Caenorhabditis elegans: one gene and its partners. The protein of the gene in region 2 interacts with the protein of the main gene of each other region in a pairwise test. Each region holds a gene or a part of one and is shown on either strand. Other genes may lie near its edges.

Region 1 (10,182 bases), on a different chromosome or scaffold from region 2:
AATTCATCATCTAGCATGTTTTTGATGTCATTCTTTAACACCTGATGCTGAAAATCTCCGGTTTCAATCATATTGTTTACTAGATTCAGTTACTGGAGCCGTTAGTAACAAACTATTGTCATTCCGCTAGATCGTATTCCTACTTTTAATTTGAATTATAATTAGCTCACCAGTTTTTTTTTCTGTCTGAAGTTTTCGGTCTTTTTCAACAATGATTTTGTTACATAATAATTTAAAAAATCGGACATCATTAACCTTCGTTAGTTGCCAATCGATAGTTTCATCTTCTAAAACATACCGTTTTTTCTGAAATTTCGCATAAATGAGTCATCATGATTCTGCTGGGTTATGAAATGTATTTTTCTAGAAATATTCTACCTCGAACATTTTTTTCAGTACGCCCCTCTATCATAACTTGGCCGTCCCTAGCACGTCACCAGAGCTCTAAATCCTCGCCTTTTCACACCTCCTTTCTGCACACAACGCCTCTGCTGTCGTCGTTGTCGCCTTCAGCGATAACGCCAATAAACGAAAACATCGGTTCAGGAAGAGGACTTCTTCACTTCTCTCCGTCTTGTTAACAACAGACAGTGAGGGTGTTCAGTAGAGCGCAGTGAACCGCGACGCGAGCCCTTGCGATGCGGTCGCTCTTTCCTCTGCCTTATATCTTTTCTTTTTCATCTCTTTCTCCGTCACTTTCGCAATGCGATTGGTTCCTCGGCTGGTTATAGCACAGGAGTGCCGCTGCTCCTTCGCTATCTGTCGTCTGATCCTCCGTCACTGCCCAATTGGCGGGCCCCGCATCTCTCTGCAGCCCTGCTTTCTCCGCCTCGCTCTCCTCACAAAACAACAATTTTGTCGTACTCGATCATCCCGCGTTCTCTATCATTTTGATGTCTTCCACTAATGTTAAATTCATTTATTCCGTTCTCACGTGTTCCCATTACAATTGGCTTTTGCCCATTGAATATTGATTATGATTCACCGAAAATAAGGCAAAAAAAACACAGTTTTATGATTTTTTTTTTCATTTGAAGAGTTTCAGTTACATAATTAGGTTTTTTACCGTATCAACGTTTGCCTAACAATTAAAATATTTTAATTCTCGTTAGAACATAGATTGACCCCTATTGTGAAACATAATTAACAACATTTGTTCTTTGCCTTATCGGAACGGAATGAAATTCCGTATGGTTTGGTGGGAGGTAGAAACGCAAACAGCGAGTTATCGATTTCCTCTTTTTCCTATGAATATTTTTCAGCGCGTGATTGTTGTTCATCTTTCACTTCTTCGTCTAAAATTGAGAATGGACACTTTTTGACACTAGTAACTAATCCGGTCTGGCATTTAGTAACATTGAAAAATAATCCATAAAAACTACACATTTTATTTCTATGTTCTTGTTTTCTTTTCTTAACCTGTTCACGATTGATTTTCCGTCTTTTTTAAAACTTGTGCTTTACATCATTTCATTAACTGTCTCTCCTCCAATTGTGACGTTTTCTTTTTCGTTATAAGATGCTGTTGGAGCAAGGGGCACTTAATCCCTTTTGTCTTGCAATCCTATCAGTTTATACGGAAAGAAGAATCCGCTGAAAAGTATTGACTGTGAGGCAACAGCGTGAGTTTCTGCTCTTCACGCTTTCTCCGACTCGTGCTCCGTTGCTATAGCTGCCCACGTTGTCTTTCTTCTTTCTCTATGCGTTCTTATCATTCAAACTTTTTTATACTTCTAATTTCTTGACCAACAAATAAGTTTTCAGTAGTATGGCTGCTGCCCCACCATCTGCGGATCCGCTTGATAAAGCACTAATCGTCGATGTAGATCAGTGGATTGAGCAGTTATACGAATGTAAACCACTATCGGAGAATCAAGTCAAAACGTTATGCGAAAAGGTTTGTTGATACAGTTTTGTGATTGTCAAAAATTAATTTTTTTAAGGCGAAAGAGATCTTGGAAAAAGAGCCGAATGTGCAAGAAGTCCGGTGCCCTGTGACAGTGTGTGGTGACGTTCACGGTCAATTCCACGATCTGATGGAGCTGTTCAAAATGGGTGGAAAGAGTCCTGACACGAATTACCTTTTCATGGGAGACTACGTCGACCGGGGGTATTATTCCGTCGAAACAGTTAGTCTGCTTGTCTGTTTGAAGGTACAGTTATCACAATATAGTATGGAAATTATTATAACATCTTTAAAAATTCAGATTCGATACAAGGATCGAGTAACACTGCTCCGCGGAAATCACGAGTCGCGACAAATCACTCAGGTAATTAAAATCAATTTATTTCAAAAATTATTATTTTCTTGTTAGGTCTACGGGTTCTATGACGAGTGTTTGAGGAAATATGGAAACTCGAATGTGTGGAAGTACTTCACTGATCTCTTCGACTGTTTCCCACTTACCGCTCTTGTTGATGGTCAAATCTTCTGCCTTCACGGAGGTCTTTCACCGTCTATTGATACTCTTGATCACATCAGAGCTCTTGACCGCATTCAAGAGGTAAGTTATTGTGGAAATCTACCTTTAATAGTTACTAGCCTGAAATATTTCAATAATAGAAAAGTTCTAACATTTTCATCACCGAAAATCATATATTTTTAAAGGTTCCACACGAAGGACCAATGTGCGATCTTCTCTGGTCTGATCCAGATGACAGAGGTGGCTGGGGAATCTCTCCACGTGGAGCAGGATACACATTCGGTCAGGATATCTCGGAGACGTTCAACCATTCCAATGGACTTACTCTAATTTCTCGGGCCCATCAACTTGTCATGGAGGTGAGAAATTATTTCAAATCGATATAATTTTGCAATGATATAAATATGTTTAGGGATACAACTGGAGTCACGATCGTAACGTGGTAACAGTGTTCTCAGCACCAAACTACTGCTATCGTTGTGGAAATCAGGCAGCGATGGTGGAGCTGGACGACGATCTCAAATATTCGTTCTTGCAATTCGACCCTGCCCCTCGAAGAGGAGAACCACATGTTACTCGCAGAACGCCTGACTACTTCCTGTAGATAGATACCTCCGTTCAAATCGCCGTTTTCATTTTCTTTTTTTTCCGTATTATCCCCCTTACCCAATTAATTTCAATACTTTCTCTCACTTTTCCTCTTTTTCATCGTTTCAGTCATTATATAGAATATCGTTGTTTTTGTATCGTTGCCCAACACCATCCTATTTGACAATCCCATCTCTTCTGAAGTTGCTCGAAATGATTGTTGTGTTCTTCATCTATCTTTTTTGTTCCATTCTCTTGTCCTCTACCAAAATTTAGGCGATCAAACCGTGCTTCTCTTCTCAAATGATGCGATGATAGGGATGAAAATTTCATTGTTCATGTAAATTAATGTGGTGGGAAGAGTTTGGCGGAATCATTAGCCATTACTGAAAAAATATCTCCGACATCTCGTGTCAACCTTAGCACTCGGTTCTCTTCCTTCACTCAATGAAGCAATCAATATTCTTTTCAGTCATCCCCGTGTGAGAAAAGTTGCGATCTTCTCCGCGCACGCGCTGTACGGCGTTCGCTTCCAACATTTCTTTACTCTTTTTCTTTTCCTTCCATATTCTTACACTATTTTCCCCTCCATCCCATCCTTTTCACCACTTCCCGTCTTCCTTGTTTCTTATGATTATTATCACAAAATGCGAATGGACAACATCTCTCCCTTTTCCACTATTTTATTCCCCCATTTTGTTTAATTATAATATTATTTTTGCCCCATCAACATTTTGTTTATCATCAATGATCAATAAACTGTGTCCACATCAAAGTTTTGAATTTTCGATTGCAATGTAGAAAGCATAAAACAATACTTGTCTTGGTGAAAGAAAAAACTTTAAATCGAATTATTTTGGTTCCAGAAAATGAGTGAACCAAGTTCATCATGGTGCAATCCAATGGCAGTTTCAACGTTAGGAAGTGGAAATCTTCGTGACGCTCTGAAACTTCCACCAGGGGAAGATAAAAATGAATGGCTCGCCGTAAATAGTAAGTTTTTGCTAAAAAAAACTTTGACATTTTTTTGCACAGCTTGGTAATAATAATTTGTAATAAAACAAAAAATAATTTATAATAAAACAAAAACTGCTAATTGTGATTTTTTTCGAGTTGATCCAATTTTCTCAAAAAATACAAAAAATTGGATAAATTTCCTACAGTAATCTTAAAGGCGCGTACACGAAAACAAATAAACACTGACGCGCGGCGAGACTATTTCTCAATTTTGGTTCTCCCTTTAAAAAAGCGGAAACATACAGTTTCTATAAGTTTTCTTTTTTAATTTTATTTTTGAAAAATTCCAAAAAAAAAGCGCATTTTTTCAGTAATCGATCTGGTAAATCAAGTTCGAATGGTTTTCGGAGTTCTCTGCGAATCCGAATGTACCGATTCAAAGTGTCCATCGATGACAGCACATGGAAGACAATATACTTGGACCAGTGAAGGAACATTGTAAGCTTTTCTAAGTTTTTCCGTAATTCTTGGTTATCAAAATTCAATATTTTGAAAATTCTTAAAATTGCAGAAAACCGTTTCAGTATACATAATCTAACTGTAAAACGTATATAATTGTTTAAAATTTGCTCGGTTTTTTTTTTCAATTTTGCAGCAAAAAATATATATAGTGCACTTTTTCTCAAATTCTATGACTTTGAAGCAACATATTTGACGCGCAAAATATCTCGTAGCGAAAACTACAGTAATTCTTTGAATGACTACTGTAGCGCCTGTGATTTTCGAAATAAAGAATTTAGTTATCGATAGAATATTAAAATTATACAAAAATGAGAAAATAATACGAAGAAACGAGGACAAAAAAATTTATTTCAACAATCGAGCCCGTAAATCGACACATGCGCTACAGTAGTTATCTATAGAATTACTGTAGTTTTCGCTACGAGATATTTTGCGCGTCAAATATGTTGCGCAATACGCATTCTCAAAATTTTGTGCTCCCATAATAAAGAGCCGAATTACTTTATAATTCCCGTTCAAATTTCGTTTTTGTGCTTTCTGACTATATTAATTCGGCTTTTCTTTATTTTTGGATTGTTTTTAACATGGTTTGTCACAGTTTTCCTCACAAGCAGAAAAAAATTTAAATTGAAAAATGAAGAAAAAACCAATTAATTGTTTTCTGGGAAACACCGAAATGTTGAAACTCGAAAACTAAACACATGCCTTTCTAATTTTTTTTTTGTTACAAAATTGGAAAATCTGTAAAAATTCTGGAAAAACATTTTTTGTCATTAAGAGAAAAAAAACCACGTTCACTAGTGCACTACTCCATCTTTAAAAAAGAAGGAAAATTAATTTTGTTTTCGTAAAAACGCAAAAAAACCATTCTCACATTAATCTTCATGTTCCAAAAAAAAAAAATCTATCTCAGACTGAACACAAGTGCTCCTCAATACATTGATCTATCGCTCACTGCATGCCAAAACAATGTCGACGACGAAAACGTGTTCCCATCGGAAATCGGAAAACAATTCCCCACGGACTTTGAGGAACGTTGTCAAGCAATTATGAGGAGACTGTTCAGAATCTATGCTCACGTCTATTTTGCCCATGTCAATCACTTCAAAGCTATCAAGGCCTTGGCACACCTGAACACATCGTTCAAACAGTTCGTTCTATTCGCCAATCAATTCCAACTTCTCAACAAGGAAGAAACTGAACCATTACGGGAAATCATCGAGAATCTCATATCGTTTAGCTAAATAATCTGTTGTTAATAATATTCCCAATTCTGTGATTCCCCTTCTCCTCAGATGTGTAAAACTCTAATAAATTTGCTTTAAATTTTGAACTATACGTGTTTATGAGTTTAAAATAGGTGCTTTTAGGATTAATACACAAAAAGACTGGATTATAAATCATAAGCTTCTGACGTTCATGATATGGTATCAGTTTGGGAAAACTTCAAAAATTCTCTAGTTTCTTTTCTTTTTGTGTGACGAATTGTTGAGAGATGTTCATTAAATTAATTGTTATCCGGTCTTTCAAATTATCAAAAAAAAAAACTTTTCGGCTACATGTAGATAAGGTTTTTAGTTTGAGTACTTTCTCAAATAAGTTAGAACATTTTCCAGCAAAAGGATTTCAAAGAATATTTATTGTTTGTCCACTTGTAATAGGGTGAGCAATAAGTTTTCCGTGTTTTCTCAGTTTTCATCCTTTTCAACTATCTATGTAAAAGTCCCTTTCAGAAGAAACCAAAACTTTCCAAAAAAACATTTTTTTTCTGAAAGTGGATACAACTAAATACGAATAATTTTTCTTGGATAAAGTTGAAAACATTAGCCACAATTCTGCAGAAACCCCAAAATAATTAGCGAGATTTCAAAATTTATATTTCTATTTATTATATTTTGTATCACGAAAACACCAAATTCTGAAAATGCGTATTGTGCAACATACTTGACGCGCAAAATATCTTGTAGCGAAAACTACAGTAACTCTTCAAGTGACTACTGTTCATTAAAAGAATTACCGTAGTTTTCGCTACGAGATATTTTGCGCGTCAAACATGTTGCCTGTACGCATTCTGTACGCATTCTCATAGATGTTTGTTCCCGTAATAGAAAATATTTGAAAAATTATGAACACTGAGAAAATGCGAAAAAGAACTTATTGATCGCCATAGTAGATCCTACTCGATAGAATCGAAATAAGAAGTTTTTTTTTCAAAATCAAATAGTTTTTCGAACAAAATACCACTTAAAGATCAAATGCCACTGTTTGCTCTTTCTCTTTTTCCCGTCTGCATTCTTTTTATTTCGTCTCTTTTTGGATTCCATACCATACCAATTCCACCTTTGAACTTACATTCCTTTTTTCTTTTTGCTTACTTGTCCTATACTAGGGGTTACATATTATATTCGCACTTTTCCTTTTTCGTCTACGGTCTCATCTAAATTCATTCTATTTACCAATTTGTTGTATTGAAAGGTGAAACAGAGTGAGAGAAGAGAGGAGAGAATGAGTGACTCACATTTTTGCCTTTCGACTGTTTTGGATTTATTTGCATACTTCCACGTTTGTACAGATTTCACCTATTTTCTTTTCATTGATTTTCGTATTTGGTAGTTTTGGAAGTTTGCATTAGGGCGTGGTTGCAGTCTAGGTGAATTCTGAAATATAGATTCTACGAAACGGTCATATTACGTCTCCTTCTTATTCTCTTGTGTATGACTTCTTTCCTAGACAGGTACGACTGTAGCCGGACGAGACAGGCCTACCTGCCTACTGCCTGTTTTCAGAACTTTGCCATGAATGTCTGTGTTTCGTGTTTCCATAGTTTAGATTTGCCTATTTCTTATTAACTTGCTGAAATTTAAGAAATATGCTAAAATATGCTAAAAAGTCAGTTTTCATTTATTTTCATAATTTACAGGATGACCTAATATTCTAATAATAACTATTACAAGGTCTTCCGCACCTAATTGTTGCAAGTTATCATTCTTGAAAACTATTGATAAGAGTTGAACTCTGAAGTAAACTATCTTCGAAATTTAAATTTCGCAAACCCCAAAAAAAACATGATTAAGAAGTTCTTTGGCCTATTTTTCAAATTTCAAATCCAGTCTTATCCGTACCACCTTCTGCTTTTTCTTCCCCAATATGAATCTTTGATTGCCTTTCTTTTTCCTCCATACTCCACCAATTTTCCGGTCACTACGGAAACGACCAGACAGCAACAACCTCTCGGCTCTCTTTTCCTGTGTATATTTCCTTCTTAAATCTTATTTTTAGTGTTTTATCCAGATTTAGATTTTTTCAAAAAAGATTATCCCATTTTAAAGATCTTTAGGGGTTTCAAAATTGATTTCAATTTCAGAAAACATAAAATCAAATGTCGAAGAAATCATTAGGGCTTGATGTTCGGCTGGAATTGGAAGGATTGATTTCAAATGATGATACAATCAGATCTGAGAGTAAGTAATCTGAATACACATTTTGATGGAAAAATATGTTGTTTGTATTAATTAACGCATTCAGGTCTACGTGCCTACCTTATGCCTGAGCTGGGTTAAAAACATTCAACTCAACTCAAGTAAAAATCATCTCGAAAACTAGACGAAAATTTTTAAAATTTGGCTTTTGTTCTTGTTTCAGAAAAAATAGATTTCGAGACTTTGGAATTTCTCCGTCATGTACTAAAAGTAATTTGGCACATAGTTAGGTAAACAATTTTATACGGAGTTTTTCTTTCAGATACTAAAGTTCCACAAATGAAGTTTAAGAACTTTCGTGTTATTTTTGGTTTAAAACACTCTGATAACAGTTATCAGTTCGCCAATTTAGAGTCCTAATCAACACATTTTCAATTCAAAAACTAGAGTTTTCATGTATGAAAAAAAAACAAATCATTCAGAAGATGGTCGTCAAGCTTCAATCTTTCGAGTCGCTGAACTAGATGCTCGCACTGAAGCAGACAATCTTCGTTCAATAATCCATCAAAGTGCTCGAGAAGGAAATGTAAACGCTCTTCAAGAAGCTCTGCTGAAAGCTCCATTGGCAGTGAACGCCCAAGATGGTGATTTTATGACACCGCTTCACTATGCAGCGAGATACGGAAACTATGATGCAGTTAAACTATTACTTTCTAAAAATGCTCTACCTAATACAAAAAATCGAGAAGGCGACACTCCGTTGCATATTGCTTCCAAGTATATCTATGGATACAGTGATATTTGCTCAATTATAGATGAGGATCAAGCTGATTCCGCGAGAAAGTACAATACTGCAACCAAGAAGATCATAAATGCCTTAGTTTCTGAAAATGCGTGAGTTTCAACTTTATACTTGTGACTTTGATGATTATCTGATTTCATTTGAAAAATGAGATGGAACTCCTGGGGAAACCCAATTTGTGGCGGAGTTTACATTTAAAATTTTTAAATACAAATATCAATGCTCTGCTTAAGTTTTTTTGTGGACATTTTCCTTTCCAAAAATTGAGCTCAAAATTTGGCAAAAGTACTCATCTTATTATATTATTTTGGAGCATTTCTAACCTCATCCAATATTTTGTGAGCAGTTATAATAAATCTTTAACATTTTAAAATTAGGACCAAACACTTCTCATTTTCGAGTTTTATGTTCGGAATTTTTTCCTTAAAAAATCTAATATCAATTCAAAATTAGGATACTAGTGACATTTTCTCATAGACAAAAATCATAAATAAGTCCGCTTATTTAATGTCCTTATTCAAAACCTTTTTTTATGAAAATCAATCTCTAGATTGCTAGAAAAACCCAATAAGATTCCTGAATGTGAATCGGAGTTTATGTTTGAAATTTTAAATTAAAAAATATTATTGAAAAAAAACGGCTAAAATTTAAGTGAAATCGATCCTGTGAATAAGTACCAATTGACTCCTCTTCACTATGCAGCCATGAAATCCAACTTTTCTGCTCTACACGCTCTCATAAAACTGAAAGCAGATGTGGATGCGGAAGATGATAACAAAATGACACCTCTTCTATTAGCCTGTGTTCATGGAAGCCAAGAAATAATTCAAGAGCTTATTAAAGCAAATAGTAATGTTACGAAAAGAGATCAACGACTCAACACAGTATTTCATATTGTTGCATTGCGGGGTGAGCCGGAATACTTAGAGATGATGATGGATCATGATCCAGTTGAAGCAATCAAGGCATTAAATTTATTTAATAATGAAAAGAAGACACCTTTGAGAATGGCTGTAGAAGGAAATCATCCGGAAACTTTGAAAAAGATTCTGCAGATGGAAAAGAAAAATTCATGTAAATGGATGGATAGGGAGAAGGAATTGATCCATTTTGCCGCTGAAAAGGGATTTTTAGAAGTTTTAAAAGCATTAGTGGAAGCTGGAGGAAACAAGAATGAACTGAATGAAGTTAAAGCAGTGCCACTTCACGTTGCTGCTCAAATGAATCAATTGGAAGTTGTAAGCTATTTAATAGAAGAGGAAAAGGATAATATTGATGTAGTCGATGAACAAGGCTTGACTCCCTTGATGATGGCAGTCACTCATGATAGTAAAAAGTGTGTTGAGTACCTGATTGCAAAAAAAGCAAACTTGACAATCACGGATAAAGATGAACGTACCCCAGTATTCATTGGAGCCAAGTTCAATGCTCTTTCTTCTGTTGAATACATTTTGGACCACCTTAGAAAAAA
Region 2 (10,050 bases):
TTTACTCCGATTCCCCGGACTTCATGACTATGATATTTACAAATATGTGTATTATCTGAATCTTCCCAATCCAACTGGAGAAACTGCTTTCATGAATATGACATTGCCAGTCGGTTGGGCAAAAAGACCAATGATCAAAAGGTTTCGGCTGATGAGTACTCGAAATATAGTTTAAAAATAATTTCAGATTCAATGGAATTGATAAAAACGTAGGCGTTTCGTTTATCTACGGCAGCAAGAGTTGGATTGATCCAGGACCGGCAATCGATATTCAATCAACTCGAGAGAATGCATATGTGGATATTAAGATTGTCAGAGGTGCTGGAACTCATGTCTATGCAGATGATCCGGCAGCTTTCAATGAAATTGTATCGGATGTTGTAGAAGGACGGCTTTCGAATCCTTCAAATGATTTCGAGATTGAGGAGTGTTGTCATTCGGATTAAGCAGCATCAATCTTCTTTAATGTATTGTATATAAGCTAACTTTTTTTTTAGAAACTTCATAGTTTTCTCTAATCTTGTCTAGTTCGAGACAAAATTAAGTGCCTTTTATTTGTATCTTTCATGTTTGATCAAATTTGTACATTTTCTGTGAAATTGCCTCTTACTTCTCCAGTCAGCCATAAATGTTTTAACAATCCGTCATTCTTATTAACTCACAGACCCTATTTACTCATTGATGAAGTACTTCCTTTCACCCAGGAGGTTTGTTGAATGAACAATTATTGAGTCATGTTGATAGTCCAAAGACAATCAACTTATTTTTTAAATTTTCGTTTTACAGAAAAGTCTGCATAATTCGAAAAAATCAAAGTAGAAAAACTCGTATTTGAATAACCGCCCCTTTTTCTTAAAGGCGCGCGTGGTTTGTCGAATGGTGGGTCCCGCCACGATTGTTATCTGCAACTTTTTTTTCGTAGTTCGATAGTTTTAAAGCCATTTTTTCTATTTTATCAATCTTTTTATCGATTTTTTAGAGAAAAATTGTAGTTTTTATTGCGCTAAATCAATATTCAATGTCTTATATACCATTTAAGTGTTTTTAGGGTACCCCTGATCGCTATGAGTTCCGACTTGTATGCGAATGCTGTTCTCTACAGCGAAATTTCACAAAGAAACCCGGAGTTGGTATCGAAAATGTTCAATGAAGCAACACGGAAAAAGTTGGATGCGTTTGTGAGTGTTATTTAGTCATTTATTGTAATTATAATGAACAAATTTCAGTTAAAAGACAATGAAGCGCCAAAGCTCAAAGACATCGTCACCGACAATGTATTCAAGAAGAGAAAGCGTATAGCTTCTTCTTCCGGAAACGAGCCACCTGTTAAAAAAATGGCAGCAAAGGACTCGTCTGACTCAGATTCTTCAGACGATGGAGCTGTGAAGGTAGTACAGATTTCTAAAAAAGTTTTAAAAATTAATCAAGAATTCCAGAAGAATGGTGTGCAAAAACCTGTCAATGTTGCGGCCAAAAAATCGGCGACTCCTGTTCAAAAGAAGGCTGAATCTAGCAGCAGTTCGGATAGTGATGCTCCTGCCAAGAAATTGACTCCAGTTAAGAAACCGGCCCAAACTCCTGCACAGAAGAAAGCTGCGTCAAGCTCTGATAGCGATAGCGATGATGAACCTCCGAAGAAAGCTCCAGCTGTTACAACCAAAGTTGCTCCAAAGCCAATGGCAAAGAAGCAGGATACCAGTGATTCCGACAGTGATAGCGAGGATAGCGACGATGGCAAAAGCAAGAAAGCAAATCCAGTAAAGGTACGAAATTCATCATACGAATATTTTAAAATATCAATTATTTTTACAGGTTACTCCAGTTGCGAATGTTCTCCAGAAAGTTGTTGCCAAGAAAGCCGCTTCTTCATCTTCCGATTCCTCTGACGACGAAAAGAAGCCAGCTGCCAAACCAACTCCAGCTAAACCTACTCCAAAGCCTGTTGTCAAGAAGGCCGAGTCCTCTTCGGATTCAAGCGATGACGAGAAGAAGCCAGTTGCCAAGCCAGCACCAGCTAAAGCAACTCCAAAGCCTGCTGCCAAGAAGGCCGATTCATCTTCTGATTCTTCTGATGATGAAGCTCCAGCGAAAAAGACTCCAGCTAAAGCTGCTCCAAAGCCTGTTGCCAAGAAGGCCGAGTCCTCTTCGGATTCAAGCGATGACGAGAAGAAGCCAGCTGCCAAGCCAACGCCGGCTAAAGCTACTCCAAAGCCTGTTGCAAAGAAGGCCGAATCCTCTTCGGATTCATCCGATGACGAGAAGAAACCAGTTGCCAAGCCAGCACCAGCTAAAGCTACTCCAAAGCCTGTTGCCAAGAAGGCCGAGTCCTCTTCGGATTCAAGCGATGACGAGAAGAAGCCAGCTGCCAAGCCAACGCCGGCTAAAGCTACTCCAAAGCCTGTTGCAAAGAAGGCCGAATCCTCTTCGGATTCATCCGATGACGAGAAGAAACCAGTTGCCAAGCCAACATCAGCTAAAGCAACTCCAAAGCCTGCTGCCAAGAAGGCCGATTCATCTTCTGATTCTTCTGATGATGAAGCTCCAGCGAAAAAGACTCCAGCTAAAGCTGCTCCAAAGCCTGCTTCCAAGAAGGCCGAATCCTCTTCGGATTCATCCGATGACGAGAAGCCAGCTGCCAAGTCAACACCGGCTAAGATCACTCCAAAGCCTACTGCCAAGAAGGTCGCCTCCTCATCTTCTGATTCCTCCGACGACGAGAAAAAACCAGCTGCCAAGCCAACTCCAGCCAACGCTACTCCAAAGCCTGTTGCCAAGAAGGCCGAGTCCTCTTCGGATTCAAGCGATGACGAGAAGAAACCAGTTGCCAAGCCAACATCAGCTAAAGCAACTCCAAAGCCTGCTGCCAAGAAGGCCGATTTATCTTCTGATTTTTCTGATGATGAAGCTCCAGCGAAAAAGACTCCAGCTAAAGCTGCTCCAAAGCCTGCTTCCAAGAAGGCCGAATCCTCTTCGGATTCATCCGATGACGAGAAGCCAGCTGCCAAGTCAACACCGGCTAAGACCACTCCAAAGCCTACTGCCAAGAAGGCCGCCTCCTCATCTTCTGATTCCTCCGACGACGAGAAGAAACCAGTTGCCAAGCCAACATCAGCTAAAGCAACTCCAAAGCCTGCTGCCAAGAAGGCCGATTCATCTTCTGATTCTTCTGATGATGAGGCTCCAGCGAAAAAGACTCCAGTTAAGCCAACTCCAGTCAAGATTGTAGCGAAGAAAGTTGATTCGTCTTCTGATTCATCCGATGATGAGAAGAAGCCTACAAAGGCAACTCCTGTCAAAGTCACCCCGAAGTCAGTTACAAAGAAAGCAGCAGCATCGTCTTCGGACTCATCCGATGATGAAAAGAAACCAGTGGTGAAACAAACTCCTAACGTTGTCCCGAAAAAAGAGAAAGCGGCTTCAAGTTCAGATGATTCTTCTGACGATGAAAAGAAGCCGACTGCCAAGCCAACACCAAAAGCTACTCCTAAGCAATCTGCCAAAAAAGCTGATTCATCCGATGATTCTTCTGATGACGAGGCACCGGCTAAGAAGACACCAGCCAAGTCAACACCTGCAAAAACCGCTGTGAAAAAAGAAGCCTCTTCATCGTCAGACGATTCTTCGGATGATGAGAAAACGAAAAAGAAGTCTGCCACCACACCAGCAAAATCAACTCCAAAGACTGCACTAAAGAAAGCTGAATCTTCTGATTCCTCTGATGACGACGAAGATCTTCCAAAACCATCTAAGGCTGTCACTCCAAGACCACAACGTGCTGACTCTGAAGAATCCGCCGAGACCGAGGAGAGCAGTTCAAGAACACCGGCTTTGAAGGCAAAACCATTGGCTACCTCGACTGAAAAGGCGGTCTATGAAAACCGAAAAAGAAAGTCTTCACCATTCCGACGCGTGCAAATGACAAAGGATAGCGTTTCTGAAAAATTTAGAAACAACCAGCATGATTCGGTAAACATATAGCGACTACGAACAAAGTTTAACTCGATTTATTTTCAGCACTTCGATCAATGGGGACAGCGTGCCAATGAAAGCCTAGGAAAAGTTGTTGGAAAAGCATTCCGTCATGAGAAAACTAAGAAGAAGAAGGGAAGCTACGGAGGTGGTCCAATCAACCAATCTATTAATTCTATCAAGTTCTCTGACTCTGACGATTAGTTTCTTAACTTTATCCTTAAGTTAATTTGTTTCCAAAATTGTTTCTCACCCCCGTCTACACTTCGTTTTTTATCTGTTGTCTGTTGCTTTCCTTTTTGTTTCCCCTTTAAATTTATAATCCTGAGTTGATCCAAAACAAATGTTTTGTATACTTTTGTTACTTCAAATATAACTTGTTATGTTTCCGTTTTTCTCCCTCTTGTCTCATCCATAAAATGTTTGGTCCAAAAGCTGTTTATTACCCTTGCAGGCCGAAATGAGTGGTTAGAATAGTTTTAAAAATAAAATTAGCGGGACTGCTATTGCTCGCGTCGTTCGTACTTCATGTAATCATCGGAATTGGAGAGGAATCCAGCAAACGTCGAGTTCATCCGATTAGCAAGAAACTCTTCCAATGTAATTCCATTCTGATTCAGACGCATCATATCTCTCAGTTCGGCAGTTGCTACTTCCGGGTTCACACTATTATCTTCCGGGACGTAATCTGGCAGGTTTTGAAGCTGAAATGATGACTTTTAAGCGATGAGAAAGTGTTCTTGGAGAGTTTTACTCACTATTGATCGAATTTCTTCCTCATCCAACAGTCCATCATCCTTTAGATCCAGAATTTCGAAATGGTATTTGGCGGAGGCAGTGGTCTGGAAATTTATTTTTTAGAACAATTTTTTGGTTCTGATTAAAAAATCGCTTACATGACGGAACTTTAGAGCGGTGACAAAATCAACGAACGCTTTGAAATCAATACGTCCATCTTCATAGGTTATTGAAATTTCGAAGATTCGCTTGGTGAAAACCTCATTGAAGATTCCGCTGAAAAATAGGATTTATAGACTGAAAAATAATTTCTTCATACTCTCTGAAAAATTTCAAGTCCGCTGGCGCCAACAATCCCTTTCGTTGGGAGTCAAGGAATCGGAATTCTGATAAAGTGGTTCGAAATTGAGCGACGGTGAATCTGAAAAAAGACTTTTTGAAGCAATTTATGGCACTGATAAATCATACACATCAATTTTCGGAGGTGATAAGCAATGATTCTCTGCATGAATACACTCTTCGAGTTGTAGTAGAAGTGTTGAAGCAAGTAAATCCTTCAAATATACACAGTCTCGCCGTCGAGCACCCAATAGGAAAAATATTGTTCCAACTGCGTAAGCTGTATAATAGACAGGATTTTCCGGTTCTTCAATCATAATTGGAATAAAATGTGTGGCCACAAAGTCTTGGAGACTCTGAAAATAGTGTCAGGATAATAGCTTTTAGAGTAGAAATAAGATACTTACATAACTGGAAATCTCTGTGCTATTTTCTGAAAATGGAAGAAGTTTGATGTAGGACTCCTCAGCGTGAATGACTGTTCGTACAAGCTCCTCTGAAATTCAAATTCTTTATAATAAGAACTCCCTGCTTTGCACAAACCTAAAAGAGTGATATCAATTGTTAAATTATAATTGGTTATTTTAACGAAATTCGACACTGTGTTATGTGGAAGTAGATCTTTGATTGATTGTGGTGAAGTTTTGAGTATTTTCTGAATAATTGCACATTCTTAATTATTGAATTCACCGAGAACCTTACCATTAATCGAGTTATCGTCACATATCTACTTTCTCCCCCTTCACCCCAATTTAAATCGATTTTGTTCGATCGAATGATGTTTAAAAAGCATTCGGCATTTTTTTTAAACTCCTCTACATCTATTCTTCGATTTTCGGCAAATATATCCATAACTCGATCATTAAATGTTCCTGAAAGATAATACCGCTGAATAATACATTTTCGCTGAACCCAACTCACGTTCGAAGTCACTCAATGCTTCGTTACTTTTCTTCAACATCAGGGATGTTGGAATCGTTGGTAAAATGGATTTTCGCTTCGAAGGTTCGTCGGTTGGCATAGTGACACGAAAATTGCAAGGGAGGAGAGAATTGAATTCGAATCTCGAGCGTTATTTTCTGTTGAAAATGGGCGCATTAAGTGCGCTCCACTGCATATTTTGTTAATATCAAGGGCGGCTATTCAAAATATAATTTTCAAAATTAATTACAATTTTTTAAAACAAGATCTTGCCCTTTTAAAAGTTAAATATTTTCATAAATGAAAATCTGCAGTGTGCTACAGAACATTTAAACCATCATCCGTGCTTCAAATTCATAACACCAGTTCAGAAATGAAGTTTAGGATATTTCTAGACTTGATTTGTTTTGAAATTATTATTTGATCTCTGTCTATTAGCGGCGCGCATTTGTGAAAATTTCAGGAAACGGCGGCAAAAATGTGCATAAAAGGAGAACGAAACGTTCATTTCCTCAGTCTTCACTGCTCATCATGCGTTTTTGCCTTCTCGTTGCTTTCATCCTTCCTGGGCTATTCCTCGTTCATGCAGCTCCGACTTCTTCAACCGAGCTTCCTGAAGCTAGTGGTGAAGCTCCAGAAACATCACCATTGGTTCAAAACGACGAACAGCCGCATCAACGACGTAAGTTTCTTTGAAATCTTTAAATTTTCGTTAAAAGTAACAAATTTCAGTGACGTTCTACAACTGGGACTACAAGGATCTCGGCACAACGGCATTCGAAGACATCTCGTTCCCAGCTCGACAGCCGCCAGCCTTCGTCAATCAGACTGAGAAGTGTCCCGATGGATGGCTTCGGTTCGCCGATTCGTGCTACTGGATCGAGAAGGAGCTTCTTGGATTCGCCAAGGCCGAGAGAAATTGCTTCGAGAAGCAGTCAACACTGTTCGTGGCCAATTCGATTGAAGAGTGGGACGCAATTCGTGTTCAAGCCAAGGAAGCCTTCTTTTCGTGGATCGGACTTGTCAGATTCACCCATTACGAGAAGTTGGAGCAGTTGCCAAGATGGCAGACTGAAGGAGCTCTCAATCCAACCAAAATGTAGGTTTTGTCAACAACAATTGATTGCTTCTAAATTTAATTTTTTCAGCAACTGGCTCATCAAACCATACAAGCCACTCTTCAACGGTTGGTCATCACTCGCCAATTGTGCTGCCAGCTACAAATCACCATCATCCCTGGAATCGGCATCATACACGTACTTCTACCCGTGCACGTATATGCTGTACTCCATTTGTGAACGCAATTCGACCATCGTCAACGCGTTGCAGTGAAGCCTTCTGTACTTCTGACACCAATCTAATCATGTAAACAATCATCCACAACTAATCGTTTATTATTTGTCACCGGGTTCCATCCCCCTTACGTTTGACAATCATTGCACTCACTTTATAAATTTTGAGACGTTATGTATTTATATCGGAAAATAAATTTTCAACATCAAATCCTGTTTTCTATCTGAGGACCTCTTTTGCTTGAAGCAAGTCGAGCATGACGTCAAGTTTTTCTTGCTAGAAGTTGGTGTTTCGGGAAATTGATGTGCAAACATAAATTAAGAGGCACCACGTTTTCAAGATCTGTTCAAAAACAAGATCTACGAAAACAAGATCCGCCAAAACAAGATCTACGTTTTCAGGATCTGGCACCGTGCCAACTGCGGTTTTCTCTACGCGTCGCGTGTTGCTAAGCGTAAATTCTAGAAGAAAATTTCAAAAAATATTCGTTTGAACGCTAAACAACACGCGACGCGTAACATCGGAGCATCGTTGTTTGGTTTTCTTCGAGAAAACCACAGTTGGCACGGTGCCAGATCTTGAAAACGTAGATCTTGTTTTGGTAGATCTTGAAAATGTAGATCTTGTTTTGGTGGATCTTGTTTTCGTAAATCTTGTTTTTGAACAGATCTTGAAAACGTGGCGCCTCTAAATTAAAACATTTACTTTCCTAAAATAAATCAAATTACAATGTTCTACAAAAATCATCTAATTTAACGAGAAAGTCCCATCGCATCTGAGCATCTTCCGCATAGAGCATCACTTTCATTCCGAGTGTGCTTCCGGCATCTCTCACAATATCGCAACCGGCTTTCCACGAGCTCAACAGAATTTTCATCCCGATTTTCATGCAGTATCACTTGTGAAACATTTAACAATTCTGGCAGCTCTGATTCGTAAATGCGAAGAATTGTGTGGTATTCTGGTGTCACTTGAAGAACAATTCCCTGTAAATAAATTCAATTGATCTGGTACTGTTTTTTTCTAGAAAACGTACTTTTTTAGAAGTATCAATCTTTGGACCAGCAGTTGACTCTAAAAGATTTCGAACTTCGTATACGAATTTCATGTGCTTTGAAAGCTGATCATGTGGAGTGAGAAGTCCATAATGAAGATCTTCAAATTTCAAGCGAAGAATTTGTTTTTCATGGGATCCGGGAAGGTGCTGGAGGACTTCTGATGATAAATGCGGAAGGATTGGAGATATGATATGAGCTAGATTGTGAGCAAGCCTGAAAAATAATGAATAAAAAGAGTTCTAAAAATCTTACTTGAAATACCTATGGAGAGTGAATTGAGCAGATATATGAGACTCGCTGCCAACTTTATCACAGTAGAGACGATCACGAACATATTTCTGAAATTTAAAATATCAAGATTCAGTACTCAATTTCTTTGAATCATACCACATAGTTTGCACTAAAATTTCTTTGCAAAAACTGTGTCAAATCATTTGCCACTGTACGGAATTTGAAGTCGTTGTAGTTAACAATGGATCTTTTGACAATCGCGTCACAATTTTGTAACATATCTATATCCAACGTCTTTAATGGAAACTTGACTTGTTTTCCATCAAATCCTTGACAGCCTCCAATCATGAAACGAAATCCATTTCGAAAAGCAATAACTTTTTTGTCCACATCGTCGATAATTTTCATTCCGATTTTTGATTCTCCAGCGTTCTCTGAACCGGATAAAGCCACCCAAAACCGGAGACCATCTGCTCCAATTGCTTTTTGCTTCAATGATCCATCCGTGAGCATTGTTGGATCAACAACATTACCGATAGATTTTGACATTTTATTATTGTTCTCATCAATACAAAATCCATGAACAATAATCTTTTTGTATGGAAGTTTATTTTGTACGGCTACAGATGTTAGAAGAAGTGATTGGAACCATCCTCTGAATTGATCAACACCTTCTAAGACTACATCAGCCACGTGTTCTCGTTCAGTGTCATTATCTCTAGCAGCATGCCAAGCAAGTCCAGAATCCAGCCATACATCCATGATATCCGTATTCTTCTTTAATTGAGAAACTATATCACTGGGAATTTCTAACGATCTTCGAACTTCTTCATTTTCCAATATTTCTTTTACATCAATCTCCCACCATACATCAGTATTTTCACGTTCTCGTGTCAATTTTGCTACCCATTCAATGAGTTTTCGAGATGTATAGGATCCACCGTTGTCATCAACTAATGCAGGAATCGGTGTTCCCCACACTCGTTGTCTTGAAATACACCAGCTTTTTCTAGTTGTCACCAGTTGTTTGAGTGATGCACGTAGATCCGAATCACCTGCGGCCACTGAAATGTCATCAAGCATCATAGAAGCGCGTTTTCCAATTTCATCCACATCGATAAACCATTGTTCACTGCTTCGAATGATCACTGGCTTCTTCGTTCTCCAGTCATAAGGATATGAATGAACATGCTTCGATACATGAACAATATCATGATTCAACAGCCGAAGAGCAATCTTTTGGCCTTCTCCCAGCACTTCTTTACCATCTAGATCATGACCAAGGTGTCTGGTATAACATCCACGAGAATCTACGAAACTTTCTACTCGGTCTCCTTTTGATATAGCAACCTGAAATAAAAGATAACATTTCAATAATAATAAATCATTTACTATAAATAAAGCGCTAATGTCTATCCCTATGTAGTTTGACCTTTGATCTCGAAGCAACTGGAAGTTCCCGGCCTTATGGTAAATATGCAGCCGACATTGATCGAGGTCC
Region 3 (10,477 bases), on a different chromosome or scaffold from region 2:
TCGACGTTATCCGACAAGTCGAGGTCGGTGACGTAGTTGGATTTTGCGGCGAGAATCTCAATATCTGGAATTTTTTACAGAAAATTAGAAGATTCTGACAACAGAGCCGCTCACGTTTATTGTTGATGCCGAAGTTTCGAACTGTTCCCGAGAGATTCAACTTTTTGAGCTTCTCGCCAATGGAATGAATGATTACGGTCACAATTGGCTGTGTTAATCCACACCACGCCAGATTCAGTTGTTGCAGGCTGAAAAAAATATTACGAAGGTGCACGGGAACAAGAAATATGTTACAGAAATTATTTAAAGATACACGTGGCAAGAACACTTTCAGGAAAGTTTTAAAAAATCCCTCACTCTTTGCAATTTCTGAAGATCAAACTGGCTCCATTTGCCGTGATTCCGTTGGTCATCGAGATGTCGAGCTCGCGGAGCCCGCGATTCTCTGCAATGCATATTGCCACGTGGTCATCCAATTGATTTCCTTCAATTGACAAGCATTTGAGCTTCTGGCATGGTTTCAACATAATCTGCATTTGGCGGGCAGTGAGATTAGTGCGAGAGAGATCGAGAAGCTCCAAGCGGGAGGTGCTCAGCAGTGCAACTTCGACGAGCCGTTCATCGGCACGAAGGATTCGATCGGCCTGGAAACAGTTAGTTTTATAGGAAATAAAATAAAATTCTCACTTTAGCTCCTGCCAGACGAAGAACTTTGATTTTTCGTTGTGACAACGCAATCAGTGAAATTTCGGAAATAGGACGATCCTGGGCGTCGGTGATAATCCAATTTCTCGATTTGTGTCCGATTCCGTAAAAACGATGACAGACGAGCATCGCCGAGAGAAGATCCTTCTTTTTCAAATTGGAAAAGATTTGTTCAGTGATCTCATCGGGAATACTGTACTTTTTGAACGGATTCTGAATACTGCGTGCGTCTTTTCGCTTGATCGGAGCGATTTCATCTTCTACGAGATTTTTGCAATTCAGATTTATCGACTTTAGCTTTTCGGAGCTGAAATGTCGTAAAATTAAGAAAATTAAGAGATAATTGCAGCTTACTTTCCGGAAACTGAAAGCCTGAGGCTTTTCTTTGGATAGAGGTTGTAGCATGGAAAGATGGAGATGGTCTCATCTGAGAATACTTTGAAAAAGTCAATCATATTTGAATTTTGACACACAATTACCTGTCTCCACGCAATGCTCATTTTCAGAGGGTCCGTTATCTTCTAGAGTTGATGGAAGTCTTCCTATGACACGAGACATTTTGTTTGAGTAGATATGAGGTGTAGTATTTAGGTGGTAAATAAGGGAAAAAGCACTTTCTGCTTGAAATAAATTCAAAACAGGGCTGATTTGAATAAATATGAACTCGCGGGCGCGGTAATCTTTTTTAGGTTGGCGCGAGTTTTTGCAATGCAAACGCGCTCCACCGCAAATCTGAATTTTCGAACATTTTTCGCCAATTTTTATCCTTATTTTTTTATTTTTTGCAATATTTCGCTATTTTTATTTGTTTCTCCCACCAAAAGCGCACATTTTTAAATCAAAATACGATTAAATAAAAGTAATATAACTTTTTAAATAAGTCCAAATAACCTTTAAGCAAAGTAAGGGTCGAATCTGAAACTATTTCTTGAAAACAACTTTTTTGTCTCATTCATCGAAGATTGGTTGTATTCGGAAGTGAGAGGTTGACAAGTTTTTTAAAATCCATTTTATTAATTATTCCGAAATACACATTTAGTTCCAATAGTTTCGAAATTTAAAACGTTTGAGTCATCCTTCATTTTTTCTGCCTAGTTGCTGTGATCATTTGGAGAGAGTATAAGAATTTATTAATCATTTCGAAAAAAAAAATCATTTTTGAATATCCTGTATCATTCTATTAAACTTGAAGTTATTCGGCCGGTGTTGAACAATTTGCTCCTCATTGGCGATCATTTCGTTATTCTGATTTCTTCGATTATAACGGAAGGAGAGTGGATCTGAATTTACAGTAGATTTTAAATTGGTTTTTCTTGAATTTCCTCACCTAATTTTTGTAGTGGAACAGGCGCTATGTCCACCGGCTCTGCAATATTGTTCAAGCCGATCGAGCGATTTGCGTAGAGATTTATTTCATTAAAGATATAATCATCTGACAAATTATCTGGCACCCCTCGTTTTCTTTTAGAAGTTTCCTCGATAGGTTCGGTTACAATTACATCGGTTTGTTGAGCTGAAATAGGATCCAAATTATCAAATATCCTTCTCTATTCATGTTATAAATCTTGGTTGTAAGAACAGTTAACATAATTAGTAACAATTAGAAACCTGATGTGATTAAGATTCTATCACTGTTTTTAAATAGTAAAATAAATAATTTTGACATACGTATATTGATAACTTCTCCTCTTTGTAACGCCTCAATCAATGCATCCAAATCAAGATCTCCATCACCTTGAGCCTCACGCAGTGCTCTCTCCTTTCGAAGCCTTTCCTTCAGTCGTTTAATCTGTCATTAAGCCACTAGTATACACCTTGGAGAGCCACCACAAACCTGCTCGGCTCGTCGCCGTCTACTTTCCTTATCTATCTCCTCTTCACGCTTGCCGTCTGCCCATTTGTTGAAGCTGAATGTGTTGAACACATTCGCACCGTCTCCCATTGTACTGTTCTGTAAATATATAAACTGAGCTAATGAGAAGAATACGTACTAGAGCACCACGCTTTTGCGAAAAATGAGAACCAAAAGCTCGATTGTGCACTCACTTTTGCATATTTTATTAAAGCTTTTGACGTCCTTTTCTCTTTTGTTCGCCTGTTTGAAATTTTTGAAAACCAGGAAACCATGATGATTTTAAATGTTTAATGATGTTCTTCTAACAGCATGCCCACGCGTTTTGCCTGAAAATTCGAATCAAATTAATTTTCAGCCTTTTTATTGTTTAAATATCAGAAAAAAACTGGCTGTTCACTAATCACGTGATGCCTGTGTTTTCATCCTCCCTTCTACACTGAAAATATTCTATTTTAAGGACATTTTCAGTCATTTTCCGGCGCTGTTCCCTCTGTCGTCGCCACGTCCAGTACACCGAAACCGACGACAAATCGATGAGAGCTCTACGACCGCAGGCGCGATGGATTGTGCTATTGCAGTGAGAGAGAGATGGCCGTTCTCTGCTTCTCTGCGTATCACTGTCGCAGCTGTTTCTCTTCTTCTCCTTTCGCCGCTCTTTTTTTGCATGTTCGTCAGGTTCACTATAGCGATTTCTTAATATCGAAATTTCACGAGTTTCAGAGTTGATTTTCGAAAGATCAGTGAAAATATTGTCCACGTGGTAGAGTTTTTCACTGATTTCTCGAAAATTCCAATAGTTTCTTTAAAAATCACACTCTTCTTCTTTGAACAATTCCATTTCATTGATTTTCTATATTTTCGTACAGAAATAATAATGTTTCAACAAAAATATGTTTTCTAGCACTGAACATTCTTAAATTTGAATTTAATTTTCTTAATATCAGATATTCAAAGATGACTATTCGTAGATTCTGCAAGTTCTTTCAAAATACTCAATTTTTCTATTTTCTCTCCAATTTATTTCTCCAAAAACCACCCGGTAATCAATATTTCAACACATTGCTGTGTTATCTTCACTGCGTCTCCTCTCTCTCTCTTGTTCTCCTCATGCCCGATGATAATCCGTTTCTCTTCCCGTTCTTTCTCCTTTGAATAGCCGCGAGATTAATTTTCATAAAACAAATTTCAGCACTCTTCATCATGTCGGTTGTCGAAGAAGCCACTGACGACGCGCTCTACCCGATTGCCGTGCTCATTGACGAGCTGCGCAACGAAGATGTCACGTTGCGACTGAACAGCATTCGCAAACTCTCCACAATCGCTTTGGCGTTGGGTGTGGAGCGCACACGCAACGAGCTCATCCAATTTTTGACCGACACGATTTACGACGAAGATGAGGTTCTGCTTGTGCTCGCCGAGCAACTCGGAAATTTCACTCCATTGGTCGGTGGTCCAGATCATGTTCATTGTCTTCTCCTTCCACTTGAGAACTTGGCCACAGTCGAGGAGACCGTGGTCCGTGACAAAGCCGTTGAGAGTCTCCGCAAAATCGCCGACAAGCACAGCTCGGCCTCATTGGAGGAGCATTTCGTGCCGATGCTCAGACGTTTGGCCACTGGAGACTGGTTCACATCCCGTACCTCGGCTTGTGGGCTTTTCTCTGTTGTTTATCCACGTGTCAGTCCAGCTATCAAGTCGGAATTGAAGAGGTGAGAATTAAGAAAAGAATAACTAAAGCAATCTAAATTAATTATTTTCAGCATGTTCCGAACCCTGTGCCGTGATGACACCCCAATGGTTCGCCGTGCTGCTGCTGCAAAGCTCGGAGAGTTCGCAAAGGTGTTTGAGAAGACTGCCGTCATCGAGGGTCTCCACTCCAGTCTCACTGATCTTCATGTTGATGAGCAAGATTCTGTTCGTTTGCTCACTGTCGAGTCAGCCATCGCTTTCGGAACTCTCCTCGATAAGGCTAACAAGAAGAAACTCATCGAGCCAATTCTCATTGAATTGTTCGATGACAAGTCGTGGAGAGTTCGTTATATGGTTGCCGAGAAGCTTATCGAGATTCAGAATGTCCTCGGTGAGGATATGGATACCACACATCTCGTTAACATGTACACGAACCTTCTCAAGGATCCAGAGGGTGAGGTTAGATGTGCTGCCACTCAGAGACTTCAGGAATTCGCTCTCAACTTGCCAGAGGACAAGCGTCAGAACATTATCTGCAACTCACTGCTCAACGTTGCCAAGGAATTGGTTACTGATGGGAATCAGCTCGTCAAGTCGGAACTCGCCGGTGTCATCATGGGACTTGCTCCACTGATTGGCAAGGAACAAACTGTCTCTGAGCTTCTCCCAATCTACATGCAGTTGCTTAACGATCAAACCCCAGAAGTTCGCCTCAATATTATTTCCAGTCTTGATAAGGTCAATGAAGTGATCGGAGCAGCTCAATTGTCCACATCCCTCTTGCCAGCCATCGTTGGATTGGCCGAGGATGGAAAATGGAGAGTTCGACTCGCAATTGTTCAATTCATGCCACTTCTTGCTTCCCAGTTGGGACAAGAATTCTTCGATGAGAAGTTGCTTCCGCTTTGTTTGAACTGGCTTACCGACCATGGTAACTTGATTTTTTCTTAAAAATGTTTTTAATTTAATTTTTTCCAGTGTTCTCAATCCGCGAGGCATCGACCCTCATCATGAAGGAACTGACACAGAAGTTTGGAGGACAATGGGCTAGCACGAATATTGTACCAAAAATGCAGAAACTTCAGAAGGACACCAACTACCTGCAGAGAATGACATGCTTGTTCTGTTTGAATACACTCAGTGAGGCGATGACTCAGGAGCAGATTCTGAAGGAGATTATGCCAATTGTGAAAGATGTAGGGAAATTTTACTTTTTTATTTAAAGAAATCGTAATTTTTCTAATTTCAGCTTGTCGAGGATGACGTGCCGAATGTCAGATTCAACGCCGCAAAGAGTTTGAAGCGAATTGGAAAGAACTTGACCCCAAGGTGACAGGAAAATCTTTTTCACTATCCCAATTTTCTATTTTCAGTACATTGACGTCCGAGGTGAAGCCACTGCTCGAGAAGCTCGGAAAAGATTCAGACTTTGACGTTCGATACTTTTCAGAGGAAGCCAAGAACTGTAAGTTTCAGTTGTCTTAAAATTTAGAGTGAATTTGAAATTGAACATTTTCAGCACTCGGCTTGTAATCGAACATATCGCTAGTCAAATTGGAATCTCTACATCTTCCACTTCTCAATCGTCTTATTTTTCCATTTTTGTTCCCGAGCACGCGAATAATCTCTATCTCTCCTCATTCATTTGTAAATGTTTAGCCCTCGAGACAAAACTCTGTATTGTAATAGTTCTAACCACCGTCCCTCCCACAACAAAACAATACAAATTATAATCGTTAAATTATGCGACCTCTCTTTATGATTATTTTCATTTTCCTCCCACTTCTATCCCGTATATTTCACCATCCTACTTCTTTCTGTTCTTTTTCCACCACACACAATCACCACTTTTTCCATTGCGACCCATTCATTCATTTATTTTTTTTGCAGAATAAAAGGTCATCGTCTATTATGAGAAAAAAGGTCTCAGGTTAGGTTAGATCAGTGTGGTTGAAATCTCTGAAAATATTTGGAATAATGGTGTTATCCGGCGTATGCCACGTCGCAGAAGCTTTTGAGCAGAGAATCTCGGTGCTTTTGCAACGTGGATTAAATATTGCTCAAGTTGCAAGCGTTGTGAAACGTCTCATTCAAATAAAAAATTTACTTTTGCCATTTGGAACTTTGAAACCATCTTTTTGGCCGTTTGGCAAATCCAGCTGGCAAAGAGCGGGCATAAATTTATATTAAACGCGCAGTTTCCCGATTGATTGTCTCAGAAACTTCCAGTGCTCAGATTTTGCCACGTGGCTAGAAGTTTTCGTTGCCAAAATTATTTTTTCCAATTAAAAAACTGTTCGCATTTACTTTTCAATTTTTCAATTCAATCGGAGAATTGTTTACGTAGTTTCTCTTTGCAGGTGCTATGCCAAGACGATGATAATTTATTTCCTCCAACTATTCCTGCTGCCGTCCACGACCGCCACGGCAGGCGTATTTGACCTTGCAGAGTACCGACGGGTCTCTTATGACGCGAATATTGGCGAGAATTTTCTTTGGTTCGCCCCGGAATTGGATATTCGAAAAGTTACAGCCAGCAATATTGATGATCTCGAAAAGCGAATTGTTAATCGGATTCCCGATGACTCGACCGAGCAGAATTTGATGTTTGTGACGAGTAAAGGAGGGCAGAAGTTTGCATGTTCTTTGCCAGATGTGGAAGATGTTAAGGTACACATTTTTAGATTAAATATTGTGCTTTGTTGTAAAAATCGGCAAAAATTTGTAGCGTGTTGTTTACAGTTGACTTTAGGTGTTCTTTGTTTCATTACAGCGATAATATTAGTTCGAAAGTCACGTTTTCGAGTTTTTCGCTTAATTTTTTAAATTTTCACCATAATTTATAAACAATCAGTGAAAATACGCTAATAAGAGTTTTATTTCAGTATTCAGACATTAAAAACGCATAAACGGTCTCAAATATTGTCTGGTTTCAGAAAGACAAACCAAAAAGCAGCAAGAATCCGAAAATCTATGGAGACGCGCTCGCCGCAAGCTTTTACGTGGACAAATGTGTGAAACTACGTGGTAATCACTGGTGGTCTTATATTCTGTGCCGTGGACAGACAATTGAGCAAGTGCACGGAGAACGTGAGTGTCAATAATAGGAAAATAAACCAATCAATATACATATATATTGCAGCTGGTCAGGAGGGATATGTAAAGAATATACTCGGATTGTTCGATGGAAGTCTCAAAATGCCATCCTATCAAGAATCAACGGATGATCGATTGCTTTTCGTCGAGGAAACGTACACGAGTGGGACTTTCTGTGATTTGGAGGAATACAGGGAGCCACGGATGACTTCTGTTCGGGTATTATATTAAAAAAAAAAGACATTTTACCGCTCTAACTACGGGATTGTTACTTTAAAACGATTTTTGAAAAAATGTATACAACATTTTTTACTTTAAAATACTAATTTAATTTTTGAGAGAAATATCAACATGGCTAAAAATCTTCATTTTTTTTGGAAAGTTCACTGATGTGTTCCATAGTTTTTTAGACAATTTTTAAAAAGCATAACGTACTGAAATTCCAAAAATAAAAGTTAAAATCTAGGCTAAATTGGCGAATAAAGTGTTTTTAAAGTAACAGGAAAATAAAATTATTATTTATAAAATTGTACTTCAAAAAAAAATCAATTTTAAACTTCAAAAACAGGGAAAAAACTACCAAACAACCTTTCAAACCTTGGTCCCTATTCAAAAACCACAAATTTCTCCTAAACAGCTAATACTTTCCAGTTTTTCAGTACGAATGTGACGCCCAACTGAGTACCAACGAGGTATACATCTCTTCAGTTGTCGAAGTGAAACCATGTCAGTACTTGATGATTGTAAAAGTTGGAACCCTCTGCAGATATCCGGAATTCTTGCCCGCAAGCCAGTCAAATACCAAGAAAATTGGATGTCAACCATTTTTGAGAAAAGAAGATGTTCGACAATTGTTAGAACGACAGCTTGAGGAGAAACAAAAGGCAGAAGAATCACAAAGAGTATTGACAGTGAAAAAGCGAAAATTCCAACGAGCTGCTGAGAGATTCAATGCAATGACCAAATCACAGAGAAATCTTCATATTCCTGACGTGGTGAAACGGATTAACGCGGAAATGGATTATCACGCAGCTCATTTTAACCTTCTGGTTGCAGGATTAGGTTAGAGTTTAAGAAAAAAAAGTGGCCGCGAAAATTGTTAGCTTCCAGAGGAAAAGTTAAATTTAAAATCTTGTCAAATAATATCCAATGAATGGAAATTCAGTTTTTTTTCAAAAAATATGTAATAATTTTCTCACTTTTTAAGAAAGAAATTAGTAAAAATACAGTGAAAATAATTAATTTTTTTGAATTTTAACAGAACTCGAAGGAAAACCAATCACACAAAAGAAGCGAGATTATATGTGGAAATTATTCAGCACGGCAGATATCAGTGACTACATTTTCTACTGTAACTCCCCCAGTTTTCAAAATTAAAAAATTAGTAACATATTTTTCAGCTGATTACGACACTGTAAACGACGAGAATCGCGGTCATCTATGGTACTATTTCCATGATCCATCATGGCCGAGAAATCAATTCCCAAAGGATATTATGGCCACTGCGGTTGGGAAATGTTGTGAATTTTCAAGTAAATTTCTAAATTCTATTGTAGGTTCAAAATGGATATCTCTCCGAGGTTCAGAAGAATTTGAAGGGAACTCAGTACAGATTTGGGGATAATGATGAACTTGTGGAAGGGTACGGTTTTCAGTGGAAGAGATTTTTTTAAAACTAGGCCTGGAAGAATTTTTTAACTCCACGTGTCGATTTACGAGCATTTGTTTTTTAATGAAAAAAAATTGTTTCAAATTGAAAAATGTATTCAGTATTATTAATTCATTTTTCTAGTTAAAATTTTTTTTAAACTGAATTTCATTGGTAAAGTAAAATTCTTGGCCTAGTTTCTTCTCCATCTCAAGCTACGTGGCCGCGAAAAGAAAAAACTCGGCCATATTTGAAATACCGTATTTCTTCTATTAATATGGCTGCAATACTATTTTTCGATGGTCTTCCCGCTTGCAATACTATTAGGGAGTGCAAGACTATTAGGGAGTGCAATACTAATTTTCAGAACATTTTTCTGACTTTGAGCTTACTAGTTTTTTCCTGAAAAAGCTCGAATCTTTATGTAAAAATTCAGAAAATTTGATTTTAATAACATATAAGTAACATATAAGTTCAAAAACTTCAATCTTGTAGAAATGTTGTGAAAAACTGTAGCAAAATAGGCAATTTTTTTTGTTGAAATCCTGAAATTAACGAGACGGGCCTGCAATAAAAAAGAGTAAACGCAAGACTATTAGGGAGTGCAAGACTAATAGGGAGTGCCATACTAATTTTCGGAAGGTCTCCGAGGGGCAATACTAATAGGGAGTGCAAGTCTAATAGGGAGGCCATATTAATAGAAGATATACGGTAGCTGATTTTTTTCAAATTTTCAGCTTGACACACTTCTTAAAAACCGGCGAAATCGACCTGCAATCTAATTTGGTAATTCCTGCGATGGATATTTACGATGAAATGGTTTTTATTGGTGTACGTGATCAACCATACAAATGGCTATATGATCTCTACGAATTCTATCATGAGGAACGTGATTTGGTGGCTGGCAGTGGGCTTCGAGCTCAAGATGTCATTGAGGGAATGCTCCACAAAATTCTGAAGCCAAAATATAAAAGCTGGTTTCCTATGGGCAATTTGGCGTGGGTTTTGTTCCCAAAAGAAAGGCAAAAAAATGCTGATTTACAGACGAAACTCCCTGGTAATTCTGCTCGATGAGGTTTGGGAGGATATCATTGAATTGAGCACAAATGGTTTGGAAAGTGAGCTTCTGGATAGCTCATCACCGAATTACAAGGCAATTTATGATATGGTTGATATTGGAAATGCTTCTCCTGAACAATTGAAGACGAAAAATGGCAAAAACTTGAAATTTACTGTTTCGGTGTCTGCACAACGGGATTTGTACGAGATTGAAGCCGAGTTTCAACAACTTTTGACGCCGATCTACAAGCTTCTGAGTGTAAGTGCCCTTATGGTGATCTAGAAATAAAATAAAATAAATATTCGAAAGATTATAATTTTAGATAGCCTAGAATTAAAAAAATGTTGCAGGCCTAGAAATTTTTAAAAATTGCTCAGAATACTTTTTGTGGCCTACAAAAATATTTATAAACGCAGACGCAGAC

The links.
Region 1: the proteins of rsa-1 (region 2) and let-92 interact in a two-hybrid assay, tested with the Caenorhabditis elegans proteins (one study listed by BioGRID).
Region 3: the proteins of rsa-1 (region 2) and paa-1 interact in a two-hybrid assay, tested with the Caenorhabditis elegans proteins (one study listed by BioGRID).

What each region holds. Positions count from the first base shown.
Region 1 is NC_003282.8:11,856,678-11,866,859, forward strand, and holds let-92 (Serine/threonine-protein phosphatase 2A catalytic subunit), read left to right. Parts: upstream 1-1,764; 5' UTR 1,765-1,768; coding exon 1,769-1,897; intron 1,898-1,943; coding exon 1,944-2,153; intron 2,154-2,207; coding exon 2,208-2,270; intron 2,271-2,315; coding exon 2,316-2,504; intron 2,505-2,608; coding exon 2,609-2,782; intron 2,783-2,835; coding exon 2,836-3,027; 3' UTR 3,028-3,783; downstream 3,784-10,182. Other genes in the region: mob-1 (Mob1/phocein), read left to right, coding at 3,881-4,004, 4,340-4,466, 5,404-5,734; trpa-1 (Transient receptor potential cation channel subfamily A member 1 homolog), read left to right, coding at 7,870-7,951, 8,392-8,803, 9,364-10,182.
Region 2 is NC_003279.8:10,181,895-10,191,944, reverse strand, and holds rsa-1 (Serine/threonine-protein phosphatase 2A regulatory subunit rsa-1), read right to left. Parts: upstream 6,090-10,050; 5' UTR 6,068-6,089; coding exon 5,968-6,067; intron 5,919-5,967; coding exon 5,749-5,918; intron 5,702-5,748; coding exon 5,590-5,701; intron 5,543-5,589; coding exon 5,454-5,542; intron 5,403-5,453; coding exon 5,176-5,402; intron 5,129-5,175; coding exon 5,027-5,128; intron 4,984-5,026; coding exon 4,866-4,983; intron 4,812-4,865; coding exon 4,728-4,811; intron 4,686-4,727; coding exon 4,473-4,685; 3' UTR 4,395-4,472; downstream 1-4,394. Other genes in the region: lid-1 (AB hydrolase-1 domain-containing protein), read left to right, coding at 1-141, 188-446; Nucleolar protein dao-5, read left to right, coding at 1,065-1,178, 1,227-1,388, 1,437-1,763, 1,813-3,966, 4,015-4,173; clec-87 (C-type lectin domain-containing protein 87), read left to right, coding at 6,499-6,649, 6,700-7,066, 7,116-7,299; iars-2 (isoleucine--tRNA ligase), read right to left, coding at 8,013-8,246, 8,297-8,531, 8,580-8,656, 8,706-9,899. UniProt on the Caenorhabditis elegans protein: Regulatory subunit of phosphatase let-92 which recruits let-92/paa-1 complex to the centrosomes, thereby regulating microtubule outgrowth from centrosomes and mitotic spindle assembly ensuring the stability of kinetochore microtubules.
Region 3 is NC_003281.10:5,446,981-5,457,457, forward strand, and holds paa-1 (putative serine/threonine-protein phosphatase PP2A regulatory subunit), read left to right. Parts: upstream 1-3,749; 5' UTR 3,750-3,760; coding exon 3,761-4,269; intron 4,270-4,320; coding exon 4,321-5,180; intron 5,181-5,227; coding exon 5,228-5,445; intron 5,446-5,498; coding exon 5,499-5,578; intron 5,579-5,622; coding exon 5,623-5,714; intron 5,715-5,768; coding exon 5,769-5,782; 3' UTR 5,783-6,157; downstream 6,158-10,477. Other genes in the region: skpt-1 (F-box domain-containing protein), read right to left, coding at 1-64, 115-248, 358-644, 688-1,012, 1,060-1,141, 1,185-1,263; F48E8.8 (Hsp20/alpha crystallin family protein), read right to left, coding at 1,858-1,985, 2,033-2,218, 2,374-2,494, 2,540-2,656, 2,752-2,832; F48E8.4 (MRH domain-containing protein), read left to right, coding at 6,626-6,919, 7,186-7,339, 7,392-7,564, 8,005-8,407, 8,607-8,696, 8,746-8,852, 8,902-8,987, 9,731-9,991 and 1 more. UniProt on the Caenorhabditis elegans protein: Acts as a scaffolding protein for phosphatase let-92 and its regulatory subunits.